Rhinolophus ferrumequinum: one gene and its partners. The protein of the gene in region 4 interacts with the protein of the main gene of each other region in a biochemical or structural test. Links are inferred from orthologs where the notes say so. Each region holds a gene or a part of one and is shown on either strand. Other genes may lie near its edges.

Region 1 (7,338 bases), about 2.0 Mb from region 4:
GGGTCTGTTCATTTCCTCCCTGTCCATGGACCTGAACCCGGGGAGGGGTGTAAGCAAACCTGCAGGGACGCTGCCGTGGGTGTGTGTGTGTGTGTGTGTGGAGGGGGGAATCCCAAGAGAGGAAGCCACGTGCTGGGAAGTGCTCGGTGCCAGGAAATGCAAAGCAGGGCGACAGGAATGGGAAGGCACTTGCTTTTAAATCGTGGCCAGGCAGCCCCCCCGGGCACAGCCCGCAGCCCTCAGGCAGGAGGCAATGTGGGCCAGAGGAAGGCAGGGTGGGCTCGCAGGCAGAGGTGGGAGCCTGCAGGGGGCGGGGCAGAGGAGCGCCCCACCGGCTTCTGTCTTTAAGGCTCTCTCTGCTCAGACGGGGGCAATGACAGTGACGACAGGCTGGGAGGCTGGGGCGGGAACCCTGATGTCTGAAAACTCTTCATTTCTCAGTTTCTCAAATCCTTCACTTCAACTGGTTCTTCTACATGAACGACCCAACAACCTTTACATCGCCAGCAGCTATGCCCTGGCCACCCCCGGGCCAGAGGGCACAGCACACATTAGCCCCCAAAGGCCTGCTGCCCACTGGCTTCCCCACTGACAGAGCCCTCAGAGGGCAGGCCCCCCTCCCCTGACCAGGGCAAAGCAGACAGCGCAGACTGGCAGGACGCTTCTGCTGAATTCATGAACACAGTTCTGTGACCGACGACAAGCAGCCTGGTAAGCGGCTGTTTAAGTGAGGCAAAGGTCCCTAGCAAGTCTGAGCTAGGCTAGGCATCAAAACAGGTTTCTGAAGCCCCAGGCCAGCTCTGGAACACGGAGCAGCCATGGACACCTGCGTCCACACAATTCCCCCAGTGCTCTGGGGGGGGGGGACTGCGCCGAGCCCAGGCCACGACTCAGTAGGGTGAACTGCCTGCCTGCCACCCATGTGCCAGGACCGCGCCTCTTCTGCTCTGAAGACCGGGCAAAGCTGCCCACGGAGGCCCTGTCCCACCTAGTGCCTAGCTGTGGCGGTCCCAGGTGTGAAAGGTCAACGAGGGGTAGTCCCACAGGAGCTCCTGCAGCCCCCCTCCCAGGGGAGCCGAGGGACCAGGCCAGGTCACAGTAAGACTTTCTGCCATCAGGGCACAAAGCCACAGGTGCCCACCAGCACTGTCCCAGGCAGAAGCCTGGTCTCCAAGATGGTGCTTCCGCTCCTGCGGGCCGCCCAGGGTCCAGGAGAAAGCAGCCAATATATTACATTTTAATTACAACACTAGGAAGCGCTCACTCAGAATCCCACTTAACACGGAACCTGCCTTCCCCAGCGAACAGACAGGCACTTAAGGAGCGTTATGTGTTACGAGATGCTTCAGAGCAGCAAAGTTGCAGATGCAAATAGAACATATCCGTGAACTACTAGAGACGCCCGCAGGACAAAAGGCCGAGTTCACCAAGCGGGAGGGAGGTCTGCCCTCCACCTTCCTCCAGGGCCCTGTAACGGGCTGTCCTTGAACCTGTTCTTCTCCGATCAGCTCTGCTGGTTGACAGCACGGACTTCAGAGCTTCTTACTGGCTGTGGGAGTGTGGCAAGCTGCTCGTCTCCCCCAACCTCAACTTCCTCACCTGTAAAATGGGGGGGGGGTGGTACTCAGACCCCACAGGTTTGCCCAAGACGAAACAGATAGTGCATGAAAAACCCTGGATGGGCCTTTTCCACACGCCCACAAATTCCCCCAGGGGAACAGCCTTCTCTTGCCTCACCCAAGCAACCTGCACTCAGGACACCCTCTGCCCAGGCTGTACTTCCTGTTCTCGTTTGACAAACCTCCCAGGACCCCAGGCTGTTTCTGAAGCAAGGTCCCAAACACGGACTCTAACCAGACAAAGGTGCAGCAGGACGCAGAATTCACCCCTAAGCCACCCAAAAGGCCGCAAACAAATTAGGACAAATTAGGATCCATCTCCCTTTTCTGTCGGGTAGGTCCTTTACCTAAAGGCAACGTTTCCTGAATGGCAAGAAACATTTGTGGCTACCCTCTTTAAAAGGCAACAAAAAGCCAACTTTGCAAACACAGTACAGTAACTTTGCAAACCGCGGAGCCAAGCACACTTTCCAAGCATACAAACCAGACCAGTTCACACTGTGATTCAGGAGCGACTGCAGGCCGTGATCCTGAGCCCAGCTAATCAATCATTCCCTTCCCTTCCCTCCTACTCACGAAACCACCAATTCCAACCTCTGTTCAATTGATACAAAGCAACCTGAAAAACAATTCTGCCTCCGGCGAAGCGCCGCCGGGCAGGGTCCCACCAACGACAAGAGGAGCTCTCGAGAGGCGCAGGAAAACTCAGGCTTGTTTTGGTTTGTAGACATCAAACGCAAATCCCCCAAACAAGCCAGCGATTTTGCAATCCAAGACTTTCAACTCTCTCTGCTGGGCCTTCTCTCCCCGGCTGGAAAGCGCCACAGGTTTGTGAGCACAGCCGTGACCCCGGAAACGCACGTCCCTCGCAGGAGGGAAGCGCCTGTCAACCCCGCCTCGGCTCCCCGGACGCACCGCGAGTCCGCGCCGGAGGGGACACCCCCCACTTTCACAAGGGAAGGCGACGGGAGCCCGAGGGAGCAAGGCCGGGGCGACGCCGAGGCCGGGGCAGCAGAGTTGGGCCGTAACCCGCGGCGTCAACTGCTCGGAGGCGGACGGTTCCCGGGCTTAGGGGCCTGGGCGGGTCCCGGGGCGCGCAGGGGGCGGAGGTCGGGGCCCAAGGGTTCGCGGGGTGGAGGGGCGCCCGCCCGCCCGGCCCGACGGCGGCAGAAGCCCCGCGCAGCCGAGGCCCGGCCCCCATCCTGCTGCCGCTTCCTGCGCGCCCCCCGCCCGTGCTCACCTCGGGCGGCCGCAGCCCGGCAAGCGAGGCGGACGAGGCGGCGGCGACGGTGGCGGCGCGGCGCTTCCTTTGTCTCGGGACTTCCCTCCCGAGCCCGCTCCGCGCGCAGCCCGAGCGCTCCGAGGACCCCGGCGCGGGCGGGGCGCGGGCGGGGCTTGCGGAGGCTGCCCGCCGCATGCCTGCTCTGCACGCCGCCGCCGCCGCCCCGCGCCCAGCGCAGCCCATACCGCCGTTCGCCGCCCGCCGCCCGCGACCCGCTGCTGCGCGCCCACGCCCCGGGCTTGCCCAGGGAGTCCGGCCCGGGGGCGATTTTCCAGTCAGGCGGCGCTCTGGACACCTGGGCCCTTAAAGGAGCCGCGTCCCCGATGTCAGGGAGCGTCTACAAACTCCCCTTCGCGACGCGCGCGTCAACTCGAGGACACGCCGGTGAGCAGCAGGAGAAAGAGGAGGCCGAGATCTCCAAGGGCGCCCCAGATGCCTCGTGGGCACCTTTCTGGGCACGGGTCCCGTTGGTCTCCTTGGGGCTAAGACCCAGGGCCGGGGGACAAAGACCACTGAGGCCTACGGATCCCCAGAAGCGTCGCAGCACGGTGACGATCCTCCGAGTACTGCGTCTGTGAAACCCCTTACAATTGGCCGGTTCGGGGCGCTGGGCGGGGCGTCCATCGAATTGTCCCAATGAGCTGACCCCATACAAACGACCGAGAGCTTGCCCGACCGACGGGAGGAAAAGTGCGGACGCTCCCTAACCCAGGGGCTGGCCGAGGGGGAGGGGCGCAGGGGCTGCGAGCGGGAGGCCGAGGTGCGGGCTGGGACCCCTGCCCGGCTCCTGCAGTCAGGGTCTGGGGGTCCACCCCCAGCCCTTGTGTGAACGCTGGTCCTTCCTGGCCTCGCTGAGTATCTCCCCGTCGGGCCAATTCCCAGGGCCAGCTTCATTGCCCAAACCCCAGCTCTGGGTGGGGAGAGGGCGCTTCCCAAGGTCAGCCCGCTCCGCCCGTGGGCGCTTAGGGATCAGGCCGCGATGGGTGTGGAGGGCGCCTGACCCTAGCCGCGCAGCGGGGGGTGCTGGACAACCCCAGCGATTTGCATTTACTCCTTTCCCTCCCTTTTTTGCTTCCTTCCCTCCCTCCATCTCCCTTCTCTGGCCCTCCCCCCACACCCCCAAGTGCCTCTTTTGGCCCTGTGCTCAGAGACTGTTGGCTTCCCCAGGGGCTGGACCATAGGTCCGGTGTACTATGTCCCACATCTGGCCCAGTGCTCTGAGTGGACGAATTCCATGTGCTCCTAGCCATCCTGTTACTCTGGGGCAGTAAAATGAAGCTGAGGGTCTCCTGGGTGTGGTGGCTCTGCTTGGCTGGATTGGGGGTCTGCCTACGATACCTCCTGGTCAGCCGTGGCCCAGAGAGAAGGCGTGGCTATAGGGACTGGGGTCCCAGGTGACAAAGGCCGGAGGGCCCCTCCGGCGCCATTGAGCAGAATGTGAGCGTTCCAAATCCCTCCCAGACTCTGAACTCCAAAGAGGCTGCTCTCTCCTGGGTCCCCACAATGATTCAGTATCTGCCTGGCCTGGGGACGCTGCCTGCTTCACCCAGGCAGCTATAGTTCTCAACCTCGGGGTGCCAGAAGCATCAAGGGGCTTGTCTGTGACACCCTTTCTCTGGTTCCCCAGCCCTGGTTGGCCAGCTCTGAGTAGTCCTCAAAGTGTGCCTTATATAATGAGTGCCCCGGCGAGGCCTGCCACACACCTCAGCTGAGCTACACTGGAAGAAACCAGCTTCCTGCTGAGGTGCATGGGCCTTAGGTACCAATGCCATCTTTCTCATTCGGGTGCCAGGAGGTTTGTTTGCACAGGGCTGCTTGGGGAAGGCACGCCGCAAATGGCCAGTAAAAGGTGGTGGCCATTGCTGGAGTCAAGAGAAGAACCAGGAGCCCAAGAGGGCTCAGCATAGCCAGGGGGCAGAGGGAGGGCGCAGCTGGTGGCCTGGATGTGGCGTGTCGTGGAGGGCCTGGGCCTCCACATTCTGTGGGCCATGGGGAGCCATGAAAGGTTGTGGAGCAGGAGACTCAGGGTCCTGGGTTCCATGTTTGTGTGTGGAACTGGAGATGGTGAGTCGTCCAGCAGAGAGAACTTCCATCCTGGTGAAAAGGGGTGTGAGGCCCAAAGTCCCTCATGCAGGAAGGAGAATGTTGGGACTGGTAGATGGAGAAGGAAGCGTGTAGCAGGAGGGTGGGTTGGAAGAGGGCAGGGAAGCTACCTCAGATCTGGTATCGTCAGCCCAGGAGCCTGCATCTGGCACACACGTTCTCAGTGATGGCCCCTGAGCCATCCATTCATCAGTCAGTTCACAAGCATTTATCCAGCATTGACTGGCCTTGAAGAAACTATGTTGTAGACGGGGCCACATGGCAGGGCCCTGGGGCAGCATCCAGGAGCTGAGAATGGCCCTCTGCCAACAGCAAGCCAGCCAGCAAGAAAGCAGGGACCTTGAGACTTCAATAACAAAGAGCCGAAGAATGCCACAACCAGTGAGTTTGCAGGAAGTCCCTCAGCCTCAGATGAGGACTGGAGAATGCCACCCCAGACTTTGGAGACCTGGAGCAAAGGACCCCACTAAGCCTGGGCTTCTGATGCACAGAACCTGTGATAATAAATGTGCTTTATTTAAAGCTGCTAAGTTTGTGGTAATTTGTTACACACTAATAATTAAAGTACCTGGTTTAGGTAGGGTGGTCAGGGAGGTCTCTGAGGAGGTGACCTTGAAACAGGAAGGGAGAGCAACATCCAGTTGTTGGGAGGGCTGGGGGAAGAGCCTTGGGGTCAGGAGCTGGAGGTGGGGTGAGGAAAGGCCGAGAGGCTAGGGCAGGGTAAGCCGGGGGATGGTGGTACGGGGTGCAGTTGGAACAGGCAGTGGGGACCAGACCTCGAATGAGATTTCCAATGTGCTGGTAAGTTTGCTGTGTGTCCAAAGTGAAGCACTTCCAGTGGGAGGGGGGATTTGATTGGGTCCAGCTCCCTGAGTACAAAGGAGAAACAGGTTTGCAGAAGGCTTTGTGCAGAATCAGTGAATATAAAACGGGGGAAGGATTCAAGCTGATTGTACCAGGTCATGTGGCCACCTGGTGGGGAGGGAGTGGTAAGTGTGATTGGGAGCTGCCTAGAGTAGGGGCAGTACCCTGTCCCCTGGGTTCTCGCCAGGGGGCCGAGCTGTGGGCACGAAGGTTTGTGTGCAGGGTCCATTGTTCAGGGGCTGGCTTAAAAAGAAAGATCTAGAAGAACGAAGTTGGACTCCTACCTCACACCACATACAAAACTAACTCAAAGGCCTAACGTGAGGGCCAAAACTATAAAACTCTTAGAAAAGAAAACGGGAAAATCTTCATGACACTGGATTTGGCAATAATTTCTTGGCTATGACACCAAAAGCACAGGCAGCTAAAGAAACGGATAAGTTGGATTTCATCAAAATTAAAAACTTTTGTTCCTCAAAGGACTCATAGTAGCAAAGAGGCAATGAACAGAAAGGGAGAAAATATTTGCAAATTACATATCTGATAAGGGAGGTTAATATCTACAATATATAAAGAACCCCTTCAACTCAACAACAACAACAAAAACACCAATTCAAATATGGGGAAAGGGTCTAAATAGACATTTCTCCAAGAAGATACACAAATGGCCAAAAAGCACATGAAAAGATGCTCAAGACCACTAGTCAGTAGGGAAATGCAAATCAAAACCAGCAGGAGATACCACTTCACGCCCAATGGATAGTTACTATCAAAAAATGGAAAACAACGAGCGTTGGCAAGAATGTGGAGAAATCGGAAGCCTTGTGCATTGGTTATGTAAAATGGTGCAGCTGCTGTGGAAAAGTCTGGAAGGAGAGACGGCTGGGGGCCTGAGGGAGCCCATGAGGGCCTGGACCTGTCTCCCTGAGCTTGGGAACTGTCTTTGAAGGATGAGGAGCCCCACATTCCACTCTGGGGGGGGTGCATGCGGACTGCAAGGGGGGGCACCGTCCCCTCCCCACAGCCTCCATCTCCTCCATCCCAGCCCTGGGGCCCTCTGCTTCCTTCTGCTCCAGCTGTGCCGAGGCCACATCCTGGGGCTCTGGGGTTCTTCCTGCCCTGCAGCCCAGACTAGCTAGGTAGAGCCTTTCACACAATGTTCCTATGTAGCACTGACTTGGCTGTGGGAGTGTCGGGGAAGATGCTGGACCAAAGCTGAGCCTAAGCGGAGGGTTCTGGAAGTGCCACCACGGGCATGTGCACCTTCGGACCATGGAGACAGATATCTCCAGGTGTGCCCAGCCCCCCTTCCAAGGGGCTCCCTTTCCAAGCTCCCCAAGGGAACCCTCTGACCCCAAAGGGCTGGGGAACCCCTCTGATCTCTGCCTGACTCCTTGACCCTGGCCTGGCCCCACAGGACACAGGAGTGCCTTCTAGTGGTCCCAAGCTGGGATGCTGAGGCCGCGGGAC
Region 2 (7,817 bases), on a different chromosome or scaffold from region 4:
TTCCACCGGCGCCTGATTTCATTACCCAGCCAGGCCTCCTGGAGGGGGCGTGGGGGTGGGGGGAAGAACCTTCGGGCCAGAGACTGAGATTCCTAAAGTAGCTGATTGAGTGCAAGAAGGCACAAGCCGCTAGGTGAGGATTTGAAAATAGAGTGAGAGGGCTTCTGCGGAAGCTGTAAGCCAAGAGATAAGAGACTTTGGGCGCGGAGGGCAAGAGAGACTGATTTAGTTTTGTTTGCATGAATAGGTGATTGCTTTTCTTTTTTTAAAAAGACCAGAGGCAGAGCGTTCAGCCTCGGGCCTCTGGTTGCCCAGCGATTGCGGGGTCTGGGGATGTGGAGGGCAATATTGGTCCTCTCAGTCCTGAGCTGGGAAGAGAGGGACATAGCCACTTGTAGCGCGGGAGGGGGCCCCTGGAGGCCCAGGTAGATGCCCTCCCAGCCGGCCTGGACTGGATGCCTGGAGGGACCCCTCGCTGCGTAGCCAGAGAAGTTCTCAGTCAGCACCCATGGCACTCGGAGCCTATTCTCAAAGGAAAAAATTCCCCAAACCCACCCAGACTAAAGATCTTTTTCTCCTGTAGTCTCGACGGGGTATAAATCATCCCTTAGACAGTTTGCTCTGACCCAAATTATGCGGTTTGCTGCCATCTACCGTCCGTTTGGAGACATGCGGCTTCGGTAAGCCCCGCGACGCTGCCTGAACCACGCCGGACGCCTGGAGCCTGGCGGCTCAGGTTCCGTGGGATTTGGTGGAATTTGGGCCCAGATTGTCGCTTTCCGCTGGATTTTGGTTCCCGCCCGCCGGCGTGTGGATTAGAGAACAAGAGTCCCCTAACTGCTCGCCCGCCCTATCCCGGTTCCAAACCTGGCGGCTGGCTGGGGAAGCAGTTTTTTTCTAGGACATATTTAAAGAGGACTAATACTGCATCCCGCGGGCAGGGGGCCCTGAAACGAAGGGTTGGGGAATCGCTGTCGTGAGCCCCCACCACCCCCCACCGCAGGTGGGAGAGGGGATTATCCGGGTCGCTCCGAGATCCGAGGCCAAGGCTGTTCAAGGTTTATTTGGTTTTCTTTTCGGCCAAGGGAGGGTCCAGCTGAGGAGGCGCCGGCCCGGCAGTTCCACTCGGTTGTCAAAAGACAACCGGGTCTGTGTTCTCCCGGTTGGCTTGTGGGTCTTGGCCAGTCCCTTGGCCGGTGAGTCCGTGACGAAGGAATTGAGCCGAGTTTTCTGGAAACTGATGGTGTCTGCAAGTGAGTGTGGGCCCCTCCCTCATTCTCGATCGTTTCAAGCGAAATCGACTCAAATATGCTTTGGGGGAAAATTGGGAGTAGGAGTAGAGATGAATCATTAAGGAACCAAACCAATCATTAAGGAACCTAACCATCGTAATTTCCGTTCCTGCCGGACCCTTCACACCCGCTTTCCCAGAAGGGGTGGCGAGGGCGGGGGTCCTCGCCTCTGCTGCCGCGTTTGAATATTGGCCCCTGTCTCACGGGTTACTGATTAGCCCGGGCTTTCAAGCCGCAGGAGGAAGCTCTGGCCATTCCTTTCAAGGTGCTGTGGCCCTGGTTCCTGGGCGGGGGCTCCAGGAAATTGCCTGTAGTGCCAGGCAGGCCGAGGTGTTACCAGGGCCTGGCCCGGGAGCTGGAGGAGCTGCCGAGGTCCAGGGGCCCAGCGGTGCTGGGGGCAAACACGGCGGCTGTCGTCGCGGGGTGAGTCTGGGCCGCAGGGGAAGCCCTTTCAGCTTTTCCGCAGGGAGAATGACTTTCTGGCGGCTAGAAGGCGCGGCCCAGGGAGGGAGGCCCCGAGGGAGCACGCCCCGAAAGTCTTGGGCCCCTCGGGATTTTTTCTTGTGGGCAATCCAAAGGACAGATATGGAAGGGAAGGCGTCTGGTACAGTGTTGAAACAGTTCAGGGCTCTTAGGGTGCCGGCAGACCTGAGGGGGTGGGAACAGGGAGAGCGAGCTGAGCACCGCTGCCCTCCCCACCGGTAGAGCTGGGACATTGCCGCTCATTTGCATAATGGAAATTATGTCTTTGTACCGCTCTGGACCGGCCCATTTTTAGGGCCTGTCCCATCTAAACAGCTCCCAAAGGTTGGGGGAGGCCACACTGCTCCCTCTGAGAACATTTATGTTCCTCAAATCCAGAGAATCACAGATTTGGGTTGTGATGTTTTAATTCGCGCCATCGTAGTCAGAGTTGGGAAAGTGGTGGGGGAAGGTGCCCACAACCCAAAGAGCTGGAGGTGGTGGGAGCTTTGTAGCTGAGAGGAGAAGGGAAGCCTGGACAATGTCTCAATCTCCCCTCCCCTCCACATACATACAGGCAAATACCCCTCCCTGAGGTTGCTGGTACAGGAGAATTTTACTCCTGAGCTGAACACAACCAAGACATTTCCCTGGGAGCTGGAATGTGTGCATCCATAGGAGCGTCGATTTGCAGCACAGAAAACTACAATTATAAATCCTGCCTGTGGGGTTTCTGTACCATCCTTCTGTTGTGTACTCAAGACTTGGTACACATTTATATCCACCTCCCCATACACAAGCTATCTCATGGAGGCAGGGAGAGACACCCCACACTGGCAGATGGGCTGTGTTGCTGTGTATTTACATATCCCCCCTTGGAGACAGACAGATGTGGGCGGCAGTGGACCGAACCACAGACAGATTCTAGAGATCTGGCTCCAGAAACCAGGCGGTCTCTGGCCCAGCTCTGCCTGCCTGCTCGTTCTCCCAAACAAACGGATCAGAGGAATAAACGCTCATAAATACCTCTGAGCTTAGATAAGAGCGATGAGGCGCTATTTCCTTTCATGCCGGACTCCAGGCGCCCAGGCCCTGCCTTTGCGGCTCCATCTCAGGACAGGCAACCTGCAGAGGTGAGGTTAATTTGGGGCTATGACTCTAAGGATAAGGCAGTTATTTTCCTGCTTCTATATCACAGGGGAACCTTACTTTGTCCAGGCTCCACACGCAAGACCAAACCTGCCAGTCCTAAGATGAGGACATTGTGGTCAGGAAGGAGGCAGAGAGGGCTGAGGCCCAAGGTCCAGCCTCAGTGGCAGAGAAGGGGGAGGTGTATCTAGGCACTCTCCCATCTTGCTCCCCCTGCCCAAATATTCCCCATTCCTCTTCAGGAGTGGGCCCAATCACAGCTAGATTGGAACATTTATGATTTTCCCTCATTAGGAGGCTTGAGTTTTATTTTCTTAAATCTTGATAAAATGGCCATAGAATCAGGCTGGGAAGGGATCACCACTTGGTCATGAAAGTGGAGCCTAGAAATTGTCCTGAATTTAGGAAGCCTTGTAGGCCACTTTACAACCATTCGCGTTCTTACCCTTAGTCACCAACCTCAGCCCTCTACTATTTTCCCTAGTGTCTTGTATCATCTTCAATGGCCAGAGCTGGCCCACCAAACGGAACCCAAAAGGCAAGGTAGAGAGGAAGCTCAGCTTGGCCCCTTCATCAGATTTTATCCCACAACCTGGCCCATTCCTGGCTCCAGGTCCAAAGGTAGTCACCTTGTACTGCCTGGCCACCACATGCATATTAGAATGTTGAAAAACACATTGTGGCTCAGGCCTCCAGCCTGGCTTTAATGTTGATTTTCCTTAGATGAGAGAGCCAGAGACATATACTCTCTCACACACCCAAACTTGAACCACACACAGCAAAGCTGGTGATACAAACGTGAGATGTGGGAAGGATTGTACAAGTGCTGAGACAGAAGGGGGGTGAGCATCTGGAGAGGGGATGCAGGCTGATAGTTGTAAGCTGCCTGCTAAGTCCCCAGGAGGACCCAAACACCCTTCCCTCTTTATAAAACCAAACCATAATCAAGTCTTGGGAAATAATTGATTTAAAAAAGAACTTCCAGCTTCTGAAGAGACTTGGAAAAGGTGCAAGGGTTCCTCTCTTCCCAGTGGTCTCTGATCGCCTCAAATATCAGGAGGGCTTGAGGACCCTAAACTGGAGGACCACTTTCTTCCCTACATCCACTTTCTGAGACAACCTTGATTCCTAAGAATCTGTAGCTCAGGATATTCTTATATCTTTTGGGCAAGACGTGGGGGTGGAGTGAGGGTTGCTGGCAGGATAGGGATCAGGAAATCTAGGCTGGGGGTCACCCCTCACACCTCCTCTCCATATCCCTAAGTGAGGAGAGGGCTAATCCCTTTCTCCAGTGCTCCTCCCTGTGCCAAGAGCAAGTGGTGCATACTAGAACCAGGCGAGATGTCTCCGGCAGCAGCAACCATAGCCTTCCAAAAAGCTCCTAGCCTAGCCGCAGAGCCAGAGGGAGAAGACCCTCCTCCTGCTTCCCTGCATCTCGGGTCTTCTGGGCAGCAGGCTCTGGCCTGCCCCACAGACCATAAGAGTTGTGGAGAAGCAGGAATAATAACCCTGGGTTTGGAGGAGACAGAGAAAATCTGAGAAACAGAAACAAACAAACAAACAAACAAAAAACGGTTTTCAAAACCTGGGAAGGAGATGGTTTCTTCTTCGACTCTCTTTCTGAAGACAAAGCTAATTAGCAGAGAACTCTTCTCCCCTTCGACCAACACAAAACCCTAGAAACAAACCTTCTCCTTTAGTTCCCTTCTAGCCAGATTGAAATTTGAGATTCAGGGATGGTTACCCACCCTTCCTTTGAGGGAATGGGACTTAAGCAACGCAGGGGTTAACTTTTCTGAAAACACAATTAACTTTTCCCTATTCTGCGTGGGGAGGGGAGGTTATATTTATTTAATCACTGGGGAGTGGGGTGGTCTCAACCCAAAGCTCCCTCCTCCCTCAAAGGCACAGACGCTTCTTTCGCAGATCCTACGTAGGTGGAACAGGACGCGTCGGGTTGTGGGGAGAGAGAGAGAGAAAGGAGAAGGAGGAAAAAAAGGTTGATAGGTTTGTGCGCGGGTCCCTCGTGCCGGCTGCGCTCCTCCTGGGTGCTATTTGACAATTCCTGCCTCTGCCATTGGTCAGTGTTGGATCAGATGGTTGTATTTCCTTCTGGCCCTCACTGGCACCTCGCCATCCCCCCTCAGCTAAAACCCAATCTCAGATATACTACTAATAGGCGCGGCGCTCGGACTATAAAACACAACAAATCATAAACCCGGCGGAGCAGCAGCGGCCGTGCGCGCCTCCCTCCCAATGAGTTCCTATTTCGTGAACTCCACCTTCCCCGTCACTCTGGCCAGCGGGCAGGAGTCCTTCCTGGGCCAGCTACCGCTCTACTCGTCGGGCTATGCGGACCCGCTGAGGCACTACCCTGCGCCCTATGGGCCCGGGCCCGGCCAGGACAAGGGCTTTGCCGCCTCCTCCTATTACCCGCCGGCGGGCGGCGGCTATGGCCGAGCGGCGCCCTGCGACTATGGCCCGGCGCCGGCCTTCTACCGCGAGAAGGAGTCGGCCTGCGCTCTCTCGGGCGCCGACGAGCCGCCCCCCTTCCATCCGGAGCCGCGGAAGTCCGACTGTGCACAGGACAAGAGCGTGTTCGGCGAGCCTGAGGAGCAGAAGTGCTCCACGCCCGTCTACCCCTGGATGCAGCGGATGAATTCGTGCAACAGTGAGTGAGACTCCGCCGTCGCTGCGACCCCTGCGGGCCCCCACCTCGGGAGACAGAAGTAGCAGCTCCCCATTCTCCAGCTGGATGCGGGGTGCGCATCTCAGTTAGGAGTGAAGGGGAGATGGGGCGCTCGCACTGGGGCTTCTGCTCTGGCCTCTCACCCTCAGTTGTTACAAAGTTTGCAAAGTCCCAGCCGCACTCGGAGGCAGGGTAGCGAGTGGGCTCTCGGGGGTGGCAGGCCAGAGCAGGGCTTGCGAGTCAGGGCAGGGGGCAAGGGCCGCAGTCATGCGCTTGGCTTTCCCTTGCGCCCCCAGACCTGGTAGGGTCCCCCATCCAAAGACTGTTCCATTAAAAACCGAGTGCGTCACGGGAAGGGGGGCGGCGTGACGCTGGCGAGGGAGAGTGGACTTGTCCCGGACTGTGTTTCCCTGGGGGCGGGGGGTTGGGGAAAAATGAGGAACCAGGAAAGGGGCGGTAGTCAGAAGACGGAGGGAGAATAAGGGGAAGAAGGAGCGGGGTAGCGGGCGGAGGGGGAAAGTGGCAGAAGCAGGCGCCTGGGTCTCAGGTTGGATTATTTGTCGGCCTTAAGTCCCAAATTGATGTCCATTAGCGGGACACGAAAGTGAGGAGCCGTTAATGCCGACTATGGATCGATCCACGTCATTACGGATTAAGGGCTGGAATCTATCACACGGTGGTGCGGGAGCTAGAAGGATGGGGAAAAAAAGATCTGGCCAGGAAGAGACACACCTGGCCAGTATACTTTCCCAGCCCCTCCCCCTAGACTCAGGTGGGATTTTAAACTGCTCCTCCCATCCCCCACCATAAGTCTAGACCGGAATCGCAGGCCTAGGAGACCCGGAGGGAATCTGGAGGGGGCGCTGGAGGGTGAGGGGGGTGGGCAGGGAATGTGAGATTGGAGGGCATCCCGGGACAGGCTGGAGTCCTTGTTTGAGAGTCGAATGGGGGAGGGGGACTCTAGCCCTAGTGACCTCAGGCCTCAGCATCTCTTCTCTGCGTAACAGGTTCCTCCTTTGGGCCCAGCGGTCGGCGCGGCCGCCAGACTTACACGCGCTATCAGACCTTGGAGCTGGAGAAGGAGTTTCACTACAATCGCTACCTGACCCGGCGGCGGCGCATCGAGATCGCACACGCCCTGTGCCTGACCGAGCGCCAGATCAAGATTTGGTTCCAGAACCGGCGCATGAAGTGGAAAAAGGAGAGCAAATTGCTCAGCGCCTCTCAGCTCAGTGCGGAGGAGGAGGAAGAAAAACCAGCGGAGTGAAGGCGCTGGAAAGGGAGGGGGGACGCGAAAGGAGAGGCCTGTGGGCAGCCGTGGGCATCGGAGAGCCCCGAGAAGGCTCTGCAGGCGGGGGAGCCCAGGGACCTGCTCTCCAGCACAGACAGGTGGGGCCCAGCGCTCTCCTGGACGCCCCCACCTGCAGAGCTCTCGCTGTGAGCTGGGAGGCTGTGCCTCCTGAGCCCACCCAGCACCCCGTGCGCCCCCTCTATCCGCGTGGAACCCGCCTCAGCCCGATCAGCCCCCCTCCAACCCGTGAGAACTGAGGACCGGACTCACTTGATGTTTCCTGGAAGCAGAGCAAAAAACACTCTTGTCCGTGTCGCGTCTCATTTCGTCCATGTCCCCCGTGCACGGTTTCAATGGTAGCTTCGCAGTCCCCTCAGCGGGGGCCTCGAAGACTCCCTAACCCCAGACCTCTCTCCTACCCCCTACCCCTCAAAGCCACTGGAAGGAGCACATACTACCTAGAAGTAAGAAGAGGAGCCTCAGAAGAAAACAAAGTTCTATTTTATTAATTTTCTATGTGTTGTGTTTGTAGTCTTGTCTTAGCTCGGGACGTGAAATACTTCGGTAATAATATTAATATTATTATTAATGATGATAATAAAGAAGTAAAAACTCGCCGCTCAGTCACCTCTGCTCGTCCCCTGCCACTTCCCCACCCCTACAGCCACCCTGTGGTCCTTTGCCGGAAACTCCGCAGCAAAGACAGGAGTCTGGTAGGCCCCAGCGGGCCCGACAGGACTCGGACGTTACAGTTCAGATAAAGGCTGGAGCCGTCCTGCCCATGCTCCGGCGCTGCGCCTCGCGGGTACTGAGGCTCAGAATGGCCTCTCCAAGGGCAGTCTTGGGGGACTGAGAAAGGTCGTTTCCCTCCTGTTCTCTAGCTTTTCCTCGTTTGTCCCTGGCACGAGGGACAGCACAGAGGCCTCCTAGCCAG
Region 3 (7,182 bases), on a different chromosome or scaffold from region 4:
CTGAGTGGCACCTGGGGCCATTACTTCCCAGTGATCCTTCTGGACACCACACCTGGGTTCACTCTGTGTATGGAGGCGTGTGATTCTCAACCTTGCATTTTGAAAAATGGGGAGCTTTTGAAAAATACCAACTCTGAGGTTCTGGGGCAGATACCTTAAAGCACAACCTTTGGTGGCGAGGAGACCAGGCATGGGTCTTTTTGAAAACTATTCAGATCATTCTAATCTGCACCCTGACAGGAGAACCACTGACCTGCGTGTGGTGCTGCTCCTCACCGTCTTAGAAACCTCCCCACGTATGGGAGGCACATCGCTTCTTTCTCCTGACCTCAGGCTTCCTCCTTGCAATCCACCTGCCGCCTACAGGGCTAGTTGCGGTACTCCTTTGTGGATTTTCCGTCCCCTCAAAATCCTGCCCCCATCCCTAGGGAAAGCCGGAGCCACCTCGGTATAAATTAGCGTTTTTATTTCCAACACCTGAGCGAGCGCCCGCGGCTCGCCCGCTGCAGTATAAACATACAAAGTGCCTGTCGCACCGCACACCATGCCTCAGAGATAAATACAGCCCTACGGGCTCCTGCTCTGTCAAAGCAACTCTTATTTACAGGAATAGATTACAAAAGTATTACAAAAAAGTGGTCCTGAACAGGGGGAGGGGTGAGAGTGGTTACCGTTACACTTGTTACACTTGGGACCTGAGCGCACCCCGCTGGCTGTGGGAAAGAGCGCGTGTCTTCGGGGCTAGCAAAAGGAGAGGCCACGCCCCCATAAGCGACCTCGGCGTCAAGGGACTGGGGTCGGCGCGGTTCCCACCCCCATGGGGGAAAGTGTCGAGGAAGAGAAAGGGCCTGGCCCCTCCAGAGTCATCTGTGGCCCACCGAGGAACACATAACGGCCATCGCAGCGGGTCTCAGAGAAGGGTGCTGCGTGGAAAAAACGGGCTGTGTCCTTGCCCTGGGGTGCGGGAGGCAGGAGACACATCAGTTCTCCTGCCTATCCTCCCTTGGGAAGGGTCGCTTTAAAAGCGCAGTTGGGGGGGGCATTTAAGCTCAATCTTTTGGGTGCGAGGGACCCTAGGGGCACCATCCCTCGGGCAGGTGGACAGCGACGTCCTCCGACGCGGCCGCCCACACCCTCAGAGCACCTGGTAGATCCGGTTGGGGTTGGCGCCCGCGGGGCACTGAGGAGCGGCGTCGGGGGTAGGGGTGGGGGCGCTGCGATCGCCCTCGCTCGGGGCGGCGGCCTCGTGTGGGCCGGGAGACAACGCCGGCGGCGCGTCGGCCAGCAGAAGCGCGGGCGCAGTGGGGCTGTCGGTGGAGATGCGCTCCACGATGCTGGACAGGCAGTCAAGGCTCGATACCGCAGCGTTCTTCCCGGGCCTGGGTTCTGCGCGGGGAAGGGTAGGTTAGTATGTAGGTGTTGAGCCGCGGACAAGTCTCCAACTTCTGGGCCCAGTCCTTTGCGGCAGACGGGAAACTGAGGACCTGCCATTGTCTGGGGCTATCCAGAGAGAGTGGGGAGCGAAAAGAGAGGGAGCTACATGCTTAGTATTTCCTTCCTTGTGCCATCTGCCATGATGTGTGTGTGGAGGGAGGAGGAGGGATGGGGCAGGGATCCTAGATAAAGGGAAGCTAGGGCAGGTCAAAGAGTAACGTGAGGAGGCGCGAATACGCACCGCTGGGCGCCTCGCTGTAGTAGGTGCCGTCGTAGCAGTTCCGCCGCCGGACACCGCTTGGGGGGCCGCTGTAGTCCATCTGCAAACGGCAAGGGCGACCGACTCAGGCCCGTGGGACCAGGCGAGCCTGGAACATCACTCTCTTTGGCCGCCCCTCCACAACTTCCCAAATCTCACCCTCGAATTTCCTGCCCTGATAGGGGTGGGGGTAAGGGTGGGCAGGAGCTGTCTGCAGTATGCAGGGCCAAATAGAGGGCAGACTGTCACCTAGGGCTACAAATCTTAATTTTGATAATAAGGACAAGTGTAGAAAAAGCAGACCACGGCGCAGAGGTGTTCTAACAGTGCTCCCCATCGAGTGGATTGCATCTGTACGATGTGTTCCCAAAACACTAGGCCACCCCAGTGGCAGCTGCCCGGGACAAGGGGTCCACTCCTGTCCAAACCTCTCCCTGGAGGGTCAGTTAGCTCCCCGCCCTCGGAATGGCTTCCCAGATACTCCCGAGAGCTGTCCCCACTTCTCTTCTAGCCCGGGGTTCCAGCCTTACCATGCCGTCGGAGCAGTTGGAGCGCGGGCTGGACGCGTCCGAGTCGCCGCTGTAGTGCTCACCGCCGCGGCCGGGGGGCAACGGGCCGGGCGCGTAGAAGGCGGCAGCGGCGCCAGGGGGCGCGGCGTCCTGGTCGCGCAGCAGCTCCTGCAGGCCTTCGATATAACGGATTGCGTTGCGCAGGATCTCCACCTTGGGCAGACGCTGGTTAGGATTGCTAGACGTGCAGCGCTTGAGCGTCTCGAAGGCTTCGTTGACTTTGCTCAGGCGGCGCCGCTCGCGCATGGTGGCGGCCTTGCGGCGGTCAGCGTTGGTGGTCTTGCGCTTGCATGCCTTGCAGGCCCACAGTAGACAGCGACCCGCCTGGTGGTGCCCGCTGGGCGCGCGCACATGCTCGTCCTCGCGCGCGCCGGGGGCCGGGTGCACGGCCGCGGGGAAATGCGATGGCTCCTCGGGCTTTAGGAGCGCGCCCACGTGCACGAGGCGCGGGTCCAGGTCCTCGAAGAAGCGCAGGTCCGGGGAGTCGAAACACGGGTCATCGTAGAAGTCGTCCGTTGTGGCAAAGTTGCAAAGAGAGCCGTCGGGGCCAGTCAAGTCTACGTCGCGGAGTGGCGGCGACAGGAGCTCCATATCCCGGCGGGGAGCAGCGCAGTCCTGGCTTCGCCCAACCCCGGAGGCAGGGATTGCCCGAAACTTTCTTCGGGTCTCCTGCAGCGCGATAGCGAAATGCTGGGGGTCTGACCGTCCAGTACCCTGCCCCGTCCTGTCCCGCCTGATGGACTCCGCGGAAAGTAGCGGCAGCTCCCTGGGGCTTCTCCACCCCTATTTTCACGCCAGGCGCCGGGGGCGGGAGCGGGCGGCTGGGGGCGGGGGCGCCCGAGGCCAATAGGAACGGGACGGGGCGGAGCTTGGGATCCCCAGGGTGGCCGCAGGGGCTAGAGACTGGCCAGGCCCCGATCCCTAGACGCGCGCGCGCGCGCGTGGTCCGGCTCCTCCCTAGGCAGGAAAGGAGGCAGAGGCTGGCAGCCCAATGCTGCTACACTTGGCTCCCGGGCACACTCTTCCCAACCCTCTCCAGCACAGGACTCCTCCTATCTCTGCGGAAAACGCTGGCCGCGCGGGCTCTCACTTCCCAGCTGACTTTGGGCCCCTCTGTCCTCTGATTTGCGGGGGACCCAAAGCAGAGTAGGAGTAGAAATCAGACCTGGAGAAAGACACATAGCAATGGGGTAGAGACACACGTAGAGCTGAGATAGTGAGAGAGATATATGCAAGAGGCTGAGACATTTAGCGAGCAGAAAGCTGGGGAGTCAGAGGCGGAGAAACGCGCAATGAGAGATAGACCCGAGAGTCAAGTAGGCAAAACTGAGATAAAGTGGACGTGGTGACCATGCCATTAGGCCAGTTCCTGCTCATTTTCCCTGGACGCTTAGAAATCCAGTCTCATTTATACAGGAGTCCAGGATCACTACTAAAGCTTCATGCCAATCTTTCCAAGCTCAACTCCTGCCCCGGCCTGGAGGGAGGGAGGGAAGTGGACGCCTGCCCGAGTCAAACTGTGCATTTTGGCAGCCAGGTGTCCAGTGCTGCTCTCAGAGATGCCTCTTCGGCTGGGAAGAAAACGCCATCTCCTTGGGGCTTGCCTCCGCCTCGCAGTGCTGCATCAGGAAAGTTCATCGCGCAAAGGCTTGGAAAGCCCAGACTCCAGAGTGGAATCTTTGAGGGTGGAGTTTACAGACCAATGACCTAAGTTCGAGTCCAGACCCCCAGTTTCATGCGTGATTTTGTGCAAGTCACTCGCCTTCCGATCCTGTTTACCCATTGAGGACAACAACAGCAATCTCTTAGAGTGATTGTGGTGGTCGGTGGTGAGATTCTGGAGACCAAAGATGTGGAAGCCTTCAGTCTGAGATGTAAGGCTATACTAGCAAGAGGGATTGCTTCTGTTGCTGGCACCGGTTGGCTGGTGTGCTCTCTGTGGGCTTCCCAGCTGTTAGCTGGGGCACAGAGCCCTGCCAGGGGCCCATGTAATCTTAGGGCTCAGCTCCCAGAGGCCGCAGCTGCATTTCTTCCCAGCAGGCCCACTGCAGAGACTGGGGATAGGAGGAGGCAACCACTCCATGGCATCTCTGGCTTCCTCACAAGCCTGAGGTCCCCCTACCCCCATAGGTCTGCTCTGCAGTTCACACCTTCCTCTCTGCACTCTGGCTAGAGGTCTCCCTTGAACCAGATACACCTACTGAGGTCTCTCTTCCTAGAGCCAAGAGATAAAAGCAAGAGTGATCTTTGTGCCTCTCCCACTAACTTCTGGGATCTGTCCTAACTGACCCTTGGGTGCTGGGAAGTCCTCCCTTCCCATCAAACCTCGAGGGCTCTCTTGGAGCCCTGCCTTCTTAACTTCTCTGCCACTTGTGGTAGTGCTGAAGGTCTTCTTCGTGAAGTGCTCAAGTCCCTTCATTCCATAAAACCACCTTCATTTATTCATTTAACACATTATGGAACATCCATTATGTGCCAGGTACCTGTCTAGGTGTTGGAGACAGAGCAATGAACAAAACCAAGACCCTGCTTTCATGGTGCTTTCATTTTAGGGTAGGGTGACAAACAATAAACGAATGAGCAAGGAAGTATATAATGTCAGGAGGTTATAAGTTCTACAAAGAAAAAGAAAACAAGGCAAAGGAACAAAGTGATGAAAGTTATTTCTCTGGGCTGATTATATTTGGGCAGAAACCTGAATGAAAGGAGGGCAGAAGCAGATATCTGGAGCCAGATAGAGGGAAGAGCATGTGCCAAGGTCCTGGGCAAGACTGTTTGGCAGACTTAAAGTGCAGCAAGGAAGCTGGTATGACTAGAGCAGGGTGAGCAAGTGGGAGAGTGGTGGGGGATGGGTCAGACAGAAAGCAAAGGAATTGTATTCTGAGATGGAAAGCCACTGGAGGGCTTCAGGAGAAGAGAAGAATGTCACCATCGGACTTAATTTTAATAGGAGGATACTGGTTATGGAGAGCAAGGGCAGAAGCAGGGAGACCGATTAGGAGACTATTGCAATAACCCAAGTGAGTGGTGATGGTGGCTTAGATCTGGCTGTCAGCAGTAGAGATGGTGAAAGTATTTGAATTCCAGATATATTTTGAATAGGGAGCCAGCAAAATGTATTCGTAATTGGATGTGGGCAGTGAGACAAAGAGGAGTTAGGGTTGACTTCTGAAAGAATGAAGTTGGGGAAGAGTAAGTCTGCCAAGAGTCCAAATTTGGGCAAAATTTGAAATAAGTATTCAATATCCAAGTGGTGATGACAGGTAGGCAGGGGGATTTCTGAGGCTGGCATTCCAGAAGGGAGATCTGGTCATGTGGAAGACCTGTCCATTTGACCTCTAAGACATCTCTCAAGTCTGTCCATCCCCAGTGTGACCACCTTGGATTAAGCTGCCACACTGCTGGCTTGGGTGACCCCAGTAGGGGATGCTCTCCTCGTTTCCACTCTTGCCCCTGTATAATCCATTCACTACACAGCAGCCTGAGTCATCCTTTAAAAGCATAAATGGGATTATATCCCTCTTGTGCTTCAAACTCCCCAACAGCTTCTCATTGCATTTAGAATAAAATCTCACCTCTTCACCCTGGCCTGTGAGGCGCTGCACGACCTGCCTTCAGCCCATCTCTGCAATTTCACCTGGAACCACTGTTCTCTTTGGTCACCCCATTCTAGCATGACCTCCCTTCCTGTCTTCCAACACTTGGAGCCTTGTGCTCGCTGATTATCGCAGTCTCTTCCAGGCTCTTCCCAACATCGGCTGCTTTTTATATATCACGTCTCAGCTCAAACGTGACCTCCTTGGGATGTCTCTAAGACATCCTCTCTAGGACAGCTGCATCACATCACCCTGCTCAGGTCTTTCTTAGCACAGCCGCTCTTTAGTTATCTTCTTTATTCGTTTGCTCATTGATTGACATAGTCCCATCAAGGCAGGGATGTTTGATTCACCATGGCCTTTTCAGAAACCATCACAGTGGCTATCACACTGTAGGAACTTGATAAATGTTGAATGAATGAATGCGTGGCCTCATGCCCTTTGAATTTCTATGCATATATTTGAACTTCTTGAAACATGTCTTTAAGGTGGATGGTTGTATTCCTTCTAAACTGGATAGTCGCATACATGATTAGACATACATGCTCAGTCATACTTGCTTTTTCCAGGCAAGACTCAGGCCCACGGGGCTGGGACATGCTCCTTTAGGTTGAGCGATTATACATGGCCTGCTTTAATATTGTCTTTTTTCATTTGACTTACACTCACAATGAGGAACATAAATAATGTGACATTGGTGATTTAGATTGAACCAAGTATTTATCAAGCCTCAGCAGAATGCCTGGCACATAGTAGGCACTCAATAAATACTTGTTGGATGAATGAATGAATCAATCAAACCGTTTAATTGAAGAGTACCCTGAGATTCCAAGTGAACTCTTCAAACCACTTATCCGTACGAATCTAGACTTCTCAGACCTGAGCAAGCAAAGAAAACATAGAAATAATTTGGATACCGAGACTGAAATGATTACAACCTTGCTTTTCGTGTTTTGCATTCATAAAAATCACCTCAGCGCCATCATCAAGGTGACTCTACAGTAAATAAATGTTATATGTTCGAGCTTACTGAACGCATTTAATATTTTATCGCTAGTGGCTTAGAAATCTAAAATGCTTTGACAGTTTTACACTTGATTTGTAGTTTCATCTTCAGTAATTAGGAAGCACTGTTATGAAACCACACACATGCTAGTGGTGCATGCCACTTTTATATTAGATTTCCAAGTGGGATTTTGTTTGCTACGCAGTTTCTGATGCTTAAACAGGGTGGCACTCACTGGACTCAGCGACCGTGACAGACCCCTCCAGGCCTGGGACCCGTGCCTGCTCAGGGTCACTCTCCTGGTTGTACCACCACCTC
Region 4 (7,851 bases):
AGGAAGGGGGAAAAAGTGGGCAAGAATGGAAAATCCTTTTGGATAAACTTTGATGTACTTAGCAGCACATTAAGTATCTGACCATTCAACAACGGAACTACCCAAAAGGCCATCCTTTGGGCTCCATCTTGGAAACAGCAAGATGTATATACTGTGTTTCCCCTAAAACAAGACTTAGCTGGAAAATCAGCTCTAATGCATCCTTTGAGGCAAAAAATAATTTAAGATCTGTCTTATTTTACTATAAGACCCGGTCTTACATTAATTTTTGCTCCAAAAGACACATTACAGCTGATTGTCTGGCCAAGTCTTATTTTCGGGGAAACACAGTAGTAGATCAACCTTTTTGTTAAGTCTTGTGTTAATTTGTTCCTCTGTATAAAACAAAATCTGCAATAACCTCATTCAACAGTAGCAAAGTTGCAAAGCCATCCAAAAAGTTACCAGTTTCAGAGACAAGCTTCAAAGCTGAACTTGCCTGGTATGATCTACTTTTCATATGATTAAAGACTTTTCACTCAAAAAAGGCAAGATTAATGAAGCAAAGGAGATCTGCAGTAAAAGAGCATTTAAATCACAGTTGTTTCCACATTTCTCACTTCAGGTAAGGCGATTTTACAAGACTAAAATCAAACTCAACTCTTTATTAGTTCTTAAAAGAGTATTAGTAACTTTCATATCCCATGACACTTATTTACTCTTTCCCACTGTAGAACGAATTTCATTTTAATTAAACAACAATCTCCTTGATAGATTTTTACGTAAATTGTTTCTCTCACTTCTACATTAACGAATATTCTAGGAATTGTATTAAAACCAAAGCCATAAAATTCAAGCTCTGTTTCAATAGCAGAAATAGATTTTTAGACCACGAGTAGAAATGTGCTAGTGGTCAGTCACAAAAATATTTGCAGAAGCTGAACAGCTGTGTCTACTGCAAATCTGAAGGCATTGCTGCAGCAAATCTAATTCAATTTGGACTCATTCATTATAAACTGATTTTCAGATGCTGCTACTGCAAAGCCGTACTGGAAAAATGCAAGCTGCGCCCGGAGACAGAACTGTTCCCAGAGGCGACAAGTTCTTACTGCCAAGGAGAGCTCTAAAAGAGGAAATACAACTAGTTCATAATGCTACCATGAACCAGCCCAGAAGAACCCAGAATTATTAAATGAATAGAAAACTAAAATATTTCTCTTAGGCAATTGATAATGATTACCTAAGGAAGTTTACAGGAAGCTGCTTAATGAGAAAAAGATTTATTCAGTATCCTGCTAAAAGAATTGTTTTTGAAAAACCGTAATTCCTGTGTTCCCTAATATTTTTCATACATCTACACTGTAAAAGTAACACGAGCTCAAATGGCGATTGCAGCCCAAATGAATCTATTTAACTTTTTTTTAAGGTTATACATGTGAAATTAAACACACCACAGTAACTTTTAGAACATCCTGCTAACAAAGTTTGGGATTGTGGAAAATGGAATGACTCGGTTGACCAAACAACGAGAGTTTTCAAGATAACTACTAATGTGCTCCCAAAGAGCACAGAGCACATTCCAAGAAACTTCTAAGTCGTAACTCATAATCTGGCTGTTGCTGAGTGTCTTCTGGTCACAGCGTTGCGAATGTGTCACCAATTCAGAAAACACTTGGGGTCCCCTTTCGGCGGCACTATTTGCTTCTCTATCCGTCAAACTTACCCTTTGCTGTCATCCCTCCAGACAGCCACGCGTGTGTCGACACACGGCGGCAGAGGGAGGAGTATGGAATCACCACGCAAAACAAACAATCTCCTCTTTACTTTTTCTCCCTGGAAGTACCACTCGGTTTCCACGCGAGAAAGGTCCACCAACTCCGGGGAACCCGAGTACACCCGGGCATGTGAGGCCCAACTCGGGTTCCACGACAGTCTTCCTAAAAACTTCCCGTCTCTGGCGGAGCTCTCGGGGAAGGGGCTGCGCCGGCCTCCACTTCGGGGAGCTCCGCACGCCCGCCAACGAGTTCGGCTCTCCGGAGGACACTCACCTTCGGGGGGATCTGACAGCGACCCCCGGGGCTCCCACCCCCGCTCAGCCCCCTCCTCACCTGTGCTGTCATTAGCCGAGAAGCCGGGCGAGCTGAGTTTGGCTCTTTTGGGGTTGGGCGGTCCGTCCAGCAAGTTCTCGGCCATTTTCACCTGCTCGCTGAAACAGCCCCGAACGCGGGCGGCGGGACCAGCGAGTGCTCCGGAGCGGGGGTCGGCGCCGGCCCCAGCCGGCTACGAAGGGAGAGCAGCGAGCGCGAGCGGCGAGCCGCGAGCGAGCGCCGAGGGAGAGGGAGGGCGCAGGGCCGGGTGGGGGAGGCGGCGGCCAAATCTCAGCCACAGCAACAGCGCCCCGCAGCGCTCACCGCCCGCCCCCGGCCGCTGCCGCCGCCGGCCGCGGCCCCCTCATCCCCTGCCCGCCTCCCGAGCGCGACACTCCGCGGCGGGGGCGCCCCGGCGGCCCGGCCGCCCCCACGGGCCCGGCTGGTAGCGACGGCGCCCGGCTGGCCGGCTCAGGCAGTCCCCGGGAACATGGTGCCGCCGCCGCGCCGCCGCCTCACTCCCCCCCCCCCGCGCCCCACTTAATTAATTCGCTCGCGGCCCGACGACCGGGGGGCTCCGGGCTCCGCTCTCTGCCCGCGGCCCGCCGCTGCCGCCGCCGCCGCCGCCGTAAGAAAAAACAATGCGCGAAGCGGGGCCGCCGCCGCCGCCGCCGCCACGGCCCCCCCACCCCCCGTTCCGCCGCCGCCGCCGCCGCTGCCGCCGCCGCCGCCGCCGCCGCCGCCGCCGCGGCTCCGGGAGGCCGAGCCGAGAAGCGAGCGGGGCCGCCGGAGCGGGCGCCGAGGGCCGGGCGGAGCGGGCCGGCCGGGCGGAGCGGGGTGCGCGGGCGGTTGTGGGGCCCGGGACCGGCGGGGCCGAGTAGATCGCGCTCGAAGCCCCGGTCGGGTCCGCGACAAGATGGCGGCTGTTGATTCCTCAATTAAAAAAAAAAGAAAGTTTTTTTTCTTCTCTTTCCAGAGCCTGAACGGGGAGGGGGAGGGGGCGGGGCACGCCGGTGCGTCACCCCCCCGCGGCGTCACCACGCACGGCCCCCGCCCCGCCCCCTCCACCTGCGCCGGCCCGGCGGAAAGAGCCGAGCGAGCTCGGGTAGTAGGGCCGAAGGCGCGGCTGCGGTGTGTTGCGCGGCGGGGCGGCGGCCGGGCCTACGGGACCACGGACGCCGGGCCCGGCGGACACTTTTGTTCTGACCGCGATTGGGCTGCCGGGCCCCGCCTGGCCGCGGACCGGACCCCAGGCGCAGAGTCGGCACCGGCCGGGCCTGTCCGTCCCTCTGGGGCGACTCTGCCGGGTCCCGGCTCCTCACTTCCCTGCCCGCGATGTCCAGGGCGACACGAGCCAAGCCTGGTCACTTCCCCTTGCCGGATGCCAGCGATCTGTCGTGGCCTCTACAGGTTACAGACCGCCCTAGGTCCGCCTGCGAGCTTGTGCAAATGGGGAAACTGAGGCAGGAAGTGGCAGGGCCGGGATTCGAACTTCCGCTGTCAAAGTAAAATGAAGGGGACGCAAAACTCCTGAGCCCCTGCTCCCCAGCCCAATGCGACGGGGTCCCAGGGGCCGACTCCTCACCTACAAGGGAAGGTGGTGAGCGCTGTTCCTACCCTGGGCTGGGGCGCGGCCAGCCTGTGCCAGGCCCAAATGGCCCCTTACATCCGGGCTTGGGCCCTGGGAACTCCGCAGGAGATCCAGACAGGTGTGGGGTCCGGCTAGTATAGCCACTCCCCGCGGGACAGTTCCACAAAAATCTAAGGTTTGCATCCCAGTTTTATCTGTTCCTCCGACTTGCCTGGCGCCTCATCCCGAAGTCCTTATCTGAAAGGTATCACCAGCAACCCTGTTTCCTAAGCCAGAAACCTGTGAGTCAACTCAGACTCCTCCCTCTCTCTCTCCACCCACCGTGCAGCCAGTCTGCCCACGTCCTTTACCTGGGGAAACGGCTCTTCCTCCCCATCCCACTGTCCCAGAGTCGTTCAGCATCGCCCGGGTGGCAGCTTCCCAGTTAAACGTCCCTTGCGCTCTACATTTCTCCCCACGCAGCACCAGAGTTAACTTCCTGGAAAAAAACGGAAAGAACTCTGTTTAAAATAAATAACTCCTACACATAGGGAAAAACAAAACACACACACAAAAACTATATATATAGTCTTTAAAAAATAAAAAAAGAACATGTGTATAGTCTGTTTAAAATATGTGTACCAAAAGAGATTGTCTTCCAGTGTCAAGACTGAATGATCTACTTTTTTCTATTTATATTGCTCAAAATCTTGTACTGCCCCCACCCCTTGCTTCTGTCCCTTCCACTTTCCATCCCTCATTCCGCCATCACGTCCCTTCACCTGCTCAGCCATTAGGAAGTTCTCATCATTCAGGCCTTTATGTATTTTTGCAAATACTGTTCCCTGTGCTGAGAATATATATGTCTGGCAAACTCTAACTCACCCTCCAAGACCCAGTTCAAATGTTACCTACTCCAGGAAGCCCTCCTAGCCCACCTAAAGACTCCCACAGCACTCTGGGCATACCTCTATGAGGACACATCCCACAGTATGTCATTATTTTTTTTATCCATTCATGTTTTATTTATCCATCAAATATCCCTGAGAAACTCCTGAGGTCACTGCCGTTGGGCTAATCGTTTGGGTAAAGAAGAAAGAAAGGAATCCCTATATATTCAAGGATGCCAAGTAGCAAGCCTTGGAAACCATAAACAGAAGTATGTAAGAAGTCAATTTGCAGAGCCAGGCAGGAAGTGTATCGAGTCACAGAGTAACATAGGGCTGGCAGCATCCTATACCTGAATGTACCATGTGTGTCCCTCTCATGATGAGTCTGCGGGCCCTTTGAGAGAAAGGGCCATGTCTTACTATGTACAGTGCCCTCCAAGAAGTAGGTTTGTAACATGAATGAATGAATGAATGAATGAGTGAATGAGTGAATGAAAATGAATAAACACTGTCAGGTCCCCTGACTCCCCAAGGCTTTCAGTGCCCCCTGAGTCCTAGAGGCCTCCAGGCTCCTGAGAAAGGTGGGCTCCAGCCCGAGGCAGTTCCAGGCCACAACCCCACAGAGGAGACAACACGTCAGGTCACTGAGAAGCCTCAGTCAGGGTCTACCTTGGTTCAGTAGGGTTACCACCTGGCCCTCAGGGTCCCTCAGTAAATTATTTACACAGCCATGTGCACATGAACTTGCAGCATACCCCCATCCGTGGGCAACTATGACACAGGTCGTGCCCCATTTTACAGAGAGGGAAACTGAGGAGACCCAGTTCAAATGACCCAGAGGTAAATGGCCTGGATATGTCAGAGCCAAGGCAGAAACACAGGTCTTCAAACTCCAATCACATGCTCCTCCCTGACCACGTTCAACATTAAAACATGTCTCATTTGTATCATTTTGATCAATTCCTCTGGTATTTCCTGACATCTGCTTTTTCTTTCCTATTTCTTCTCCCCTTGTTTTGACTCTTCCAAAAACGTTGTGCTCAGAATTGATAGGGGAATAGCAAGGAAGTTAGCTGTCTGCCTGCACATCCTTAGCTGGGGATCAAGGTCAACATAGATAAAAGGGACCCAACACTGTTGAGTCCCTTCTGTATGTCAGGCCACTTTGCGACATGCTGCACTTGGATCAGCACTTCCCACAATCCTGGAAGGAAATATCATTGTCTTCATTTTATAGATGAGGAAATAAAGCACAGAGGAGGGCAAGTCACTCAGTTACTAAGAAGCTCAACTAGGGTTTCCAGGCAGGAATTCCTGCCCGTTCTCAGGAGTTTTTTTCATTTTCCCGTTCCCGAATCCCAAGATATAAACTGTTTTCTGTTCTCCATGATGAATCCTTTCCACAAAGTGACAGCCAATACTACCAACCAGCTGGGTTCAAGGAGCCGATTTTCCCGATTTCCCGACCAACTTTTCTCGGGATTTGGGAACGGGCAAGTGAAAAAATTTCATGAGAATGGGCGGGAATTTCCACCCGGAAACCCTAGGCTCAACTGGATTGCAAACCTAAGGCTGCCTGCTCTTTCCACAGACCTCACCCTCTCTAGTCAATCCCAGAGGCTACAGGACCAAGGAACCCCACTTACAGAATGCTTAGGGGCCAAGAGAATGAGGTGAGGAGGGGCCAGCAGAGGAACAGAAGGTAGAAATCAATCAGGAAAGATTTCCTGAGAGAAGTCCATTTGAATCCCTCAGCCGATGAATGGATACACATACTGTGTTACATCCACACAATGGAATAGTATTCAGGCATACAAGGAATGAAGCACTGACACAGGCTACAACCTGAATGAACCTTGAAAACGTTATGCTCAGTGAAAGATGCCAGTCACCAAAGACCATATATTATATGTTTCCATTTATATGAAATGTCCAGAATAGGCAAATTCACAGAGACAGAAGGTAAAGTAGTGGTTGCGGGGGCGGCGGTGGGGGCAGGGGCTGAGGAGAGAGGGGAGATAGTGGATGGTAGTAGCTAAAGGATATTGGGGTGATGAAATGTTCTAAAATTAATGATGATGATAGTTGAACAACTCTGAACATACCAAAAACCATCGAAATTTACACTTTGAATGGGTGGATTGTATGGTATGTGAATTATAACTCAATAAAGCTTGTTTTTAACATATCAATTTAGAAAGAAGGAAGAGAGACCAGGAATGACGGAGGGAGGCAGGGGCTCCCAACAGAGGGAAACAAGTCAAGGGGCCAGCTGGTGGAGCACACAGAGATCGGCACGGTGGTGCCAGGAGGAAGGCTCCAGGAGGGGTAGATTTGATGTGACTGGGATTTCCCAACTGGGGGCTGAGGGATGAACTGGCACACAGTAAACGAAGACCGAGATTCACAGACTGAACTAGAAAAAGAGGAAACTGAAGAGGAGAGGCTTTCCCCCCACACTCCAGTTGCACAATCAGCTGCCTCCTGCTTTGGACCCCAGTGGACACCTCACACCCAGTGGGCTGCACACAGAGGCCACAACCCTCTTCCCACACCAGCTCCTCCTCACGTTCTCCCCGTCCCAGGAACACACCCCTCTCTTCTGTGGCCTACCTTCCCACCTCCCCTGTCCAGAACCTTTACCCCCTCCCCCAATGACTCCTCTGGAGGGTTTATTACCCTCCACAGGGAACCCTTACACGGCTCCATCTCTTCCATTCCCAGACAAACTGCTTGACCAAGTTGTCTATACCACAGACCTCACCCTCTCTAGTCAATCCCAGAGGCTACAGGACCAAGGAACCCCACTTACAGAATGCTTAGGGGCCAAGAGAATGAGGTAAGGAGGGGCCAACTTGCTTCCTTTGCTACCATTCACGGTTTTGATTTTTTCTCACGAAAAATTTCATTCTGGGTGATGAACACACAATGTGATTTATAGATAATGTAATACAGAATTGTATACCTGAAATCTATGTAACTTTACTAACAATTGTCACCCCAATAAACTTTAATTAAAAAAAAAGAAAAAAAAAGAAAAGTTCCAAACAAGTAGAAAATAATACATAGACGCTCTGTCTACGTGACTAAGGTACACAATGTTAACATTTTGCCACACCAGCTTCAGATCTTTATTTTACTTATTTAAGAAATAACATGTCAGAGACAGAGCTGAAGCTACCCCCTATTTCCTGTCTCCCTCCACCAAAGTCACCACTCTACTGAAGTTGGTGTGTATCATTACCCTGTAAAATGTGGATTTTTGTTAAGTCGAACCATATGAAACTGCCAATATTTGACAGTTTTTGATCCTGTCCAACATAAC

What was found.
Region 1: the proteins of CREBBP (region 4) and UBE2I form a complex in vitro, tested with the Homo sapiens proteins (2 studies listed by BioGRID, with this or other methods). The link is inferred for Rhinolophus ferrumequinum from reciprocal best matches to the Homo sapiens genes CREBBP and UBE2I.
Region 2: the proteins of CREBBP (region 4) and HOXB6 form a complex in vitro, tested with the Homo sapiens proteins (2 studies listed by BioGRID). The link is inferred for Rhinolophus ferrumequinum from reciprocal best matches to the Homo sapiens genes CREBBP and HOXB6.
Region 3: the proteins of CREBBP (region 4) and MYOD1 form a complex in vitro, tested with the Homo sapiens proteins (4 studies listed by BioGRID, with this or other methods). The link is inferred for Rhinolophus ferrumequinum from reciprocal best matches to the Homo sapiens genes CREBBP and MYOD1.

The regions. Positions count from the first base shown.
Region 1 is NW_022680357.1:3,163,334-3,170,671, reverse strand, and holds the start of UBE2I (SUMO-conjugating enzyme UBC9), read right to left. Parts: upstream 3,002-7,338; 5' UTR 2,860-3,001; intron 1-2,859. UniProt on the Homo sapiens protein: Accepts the ubiquitin-like proteins SUMO1, SUMO2, SUMO3, SUMO4 and SUMO1P1/SUMO5 from the UBLE1A-UBLE1B E1 complex and catalyzes their covalent attachment to other proteins with the help of an E3 ligase such as RANBP2, CBX4 and ZNF451.
Region 2 is NC_046304.1:34,459,962-34,467,778, forward strand, and holds HOXB6 (homeobox protein Hox-B6), read left to right. Parts: upstream 1-4,815; 5' UTR 4,816-5,159; coding exon 5,160-5,574; intron 5,575-6,599; coding exon 6,600-6,859; 3' UTR 6,860-7,484; downstream 7,485-7,817. UniProt on the Homo sapiens protein: Sequence-specific transcription factor which is part of a developmental regulatory system that provides cells with specific positional identities on the anterior-posterior axis.
Region 3 is NC_046294.1:36,066,239-36,073,420, forward strand, and holds MYOD1 (myoblast determination protein 1), read right to left. Parts: upstream 3,006-7,182; 5' UTR 2,854-3,005; coding exon 2,224-2,853; intron 1,755-2,223; coding exon 1,676-1,754; intron 1,387-1,675; coding exon 1,136-1,386; 3' UTR 450-1,135; downstream 1-449. UniProt on the Homo sapiens protein: Acts as a transcriptional activator that promotes transcription of muscle-specific target genes and plays a role in muscle differentiation. Together with MYF5 and MYOG, co-occupies muscle-specific gene promoter core region during myogenesis.
Region 4 is NW_022680357.1:5,205,659-5,213,509, forward strand, and holds the start of CREBBP (CREB-binding protein), read right to left. Parts: upstream 3,015-7,851; 5' UTR 2,173-3,014; coding exon 2,088-2,172; intron 1-2,087. UniProt on the Homo sapiens protein: Acetylates histones, giving a specific tag for transcriptional activation. Mediates acetylation of histone H3 at 'Lys-18' and 'Lys-27' (H3K18ac and H3K27ac, respectively).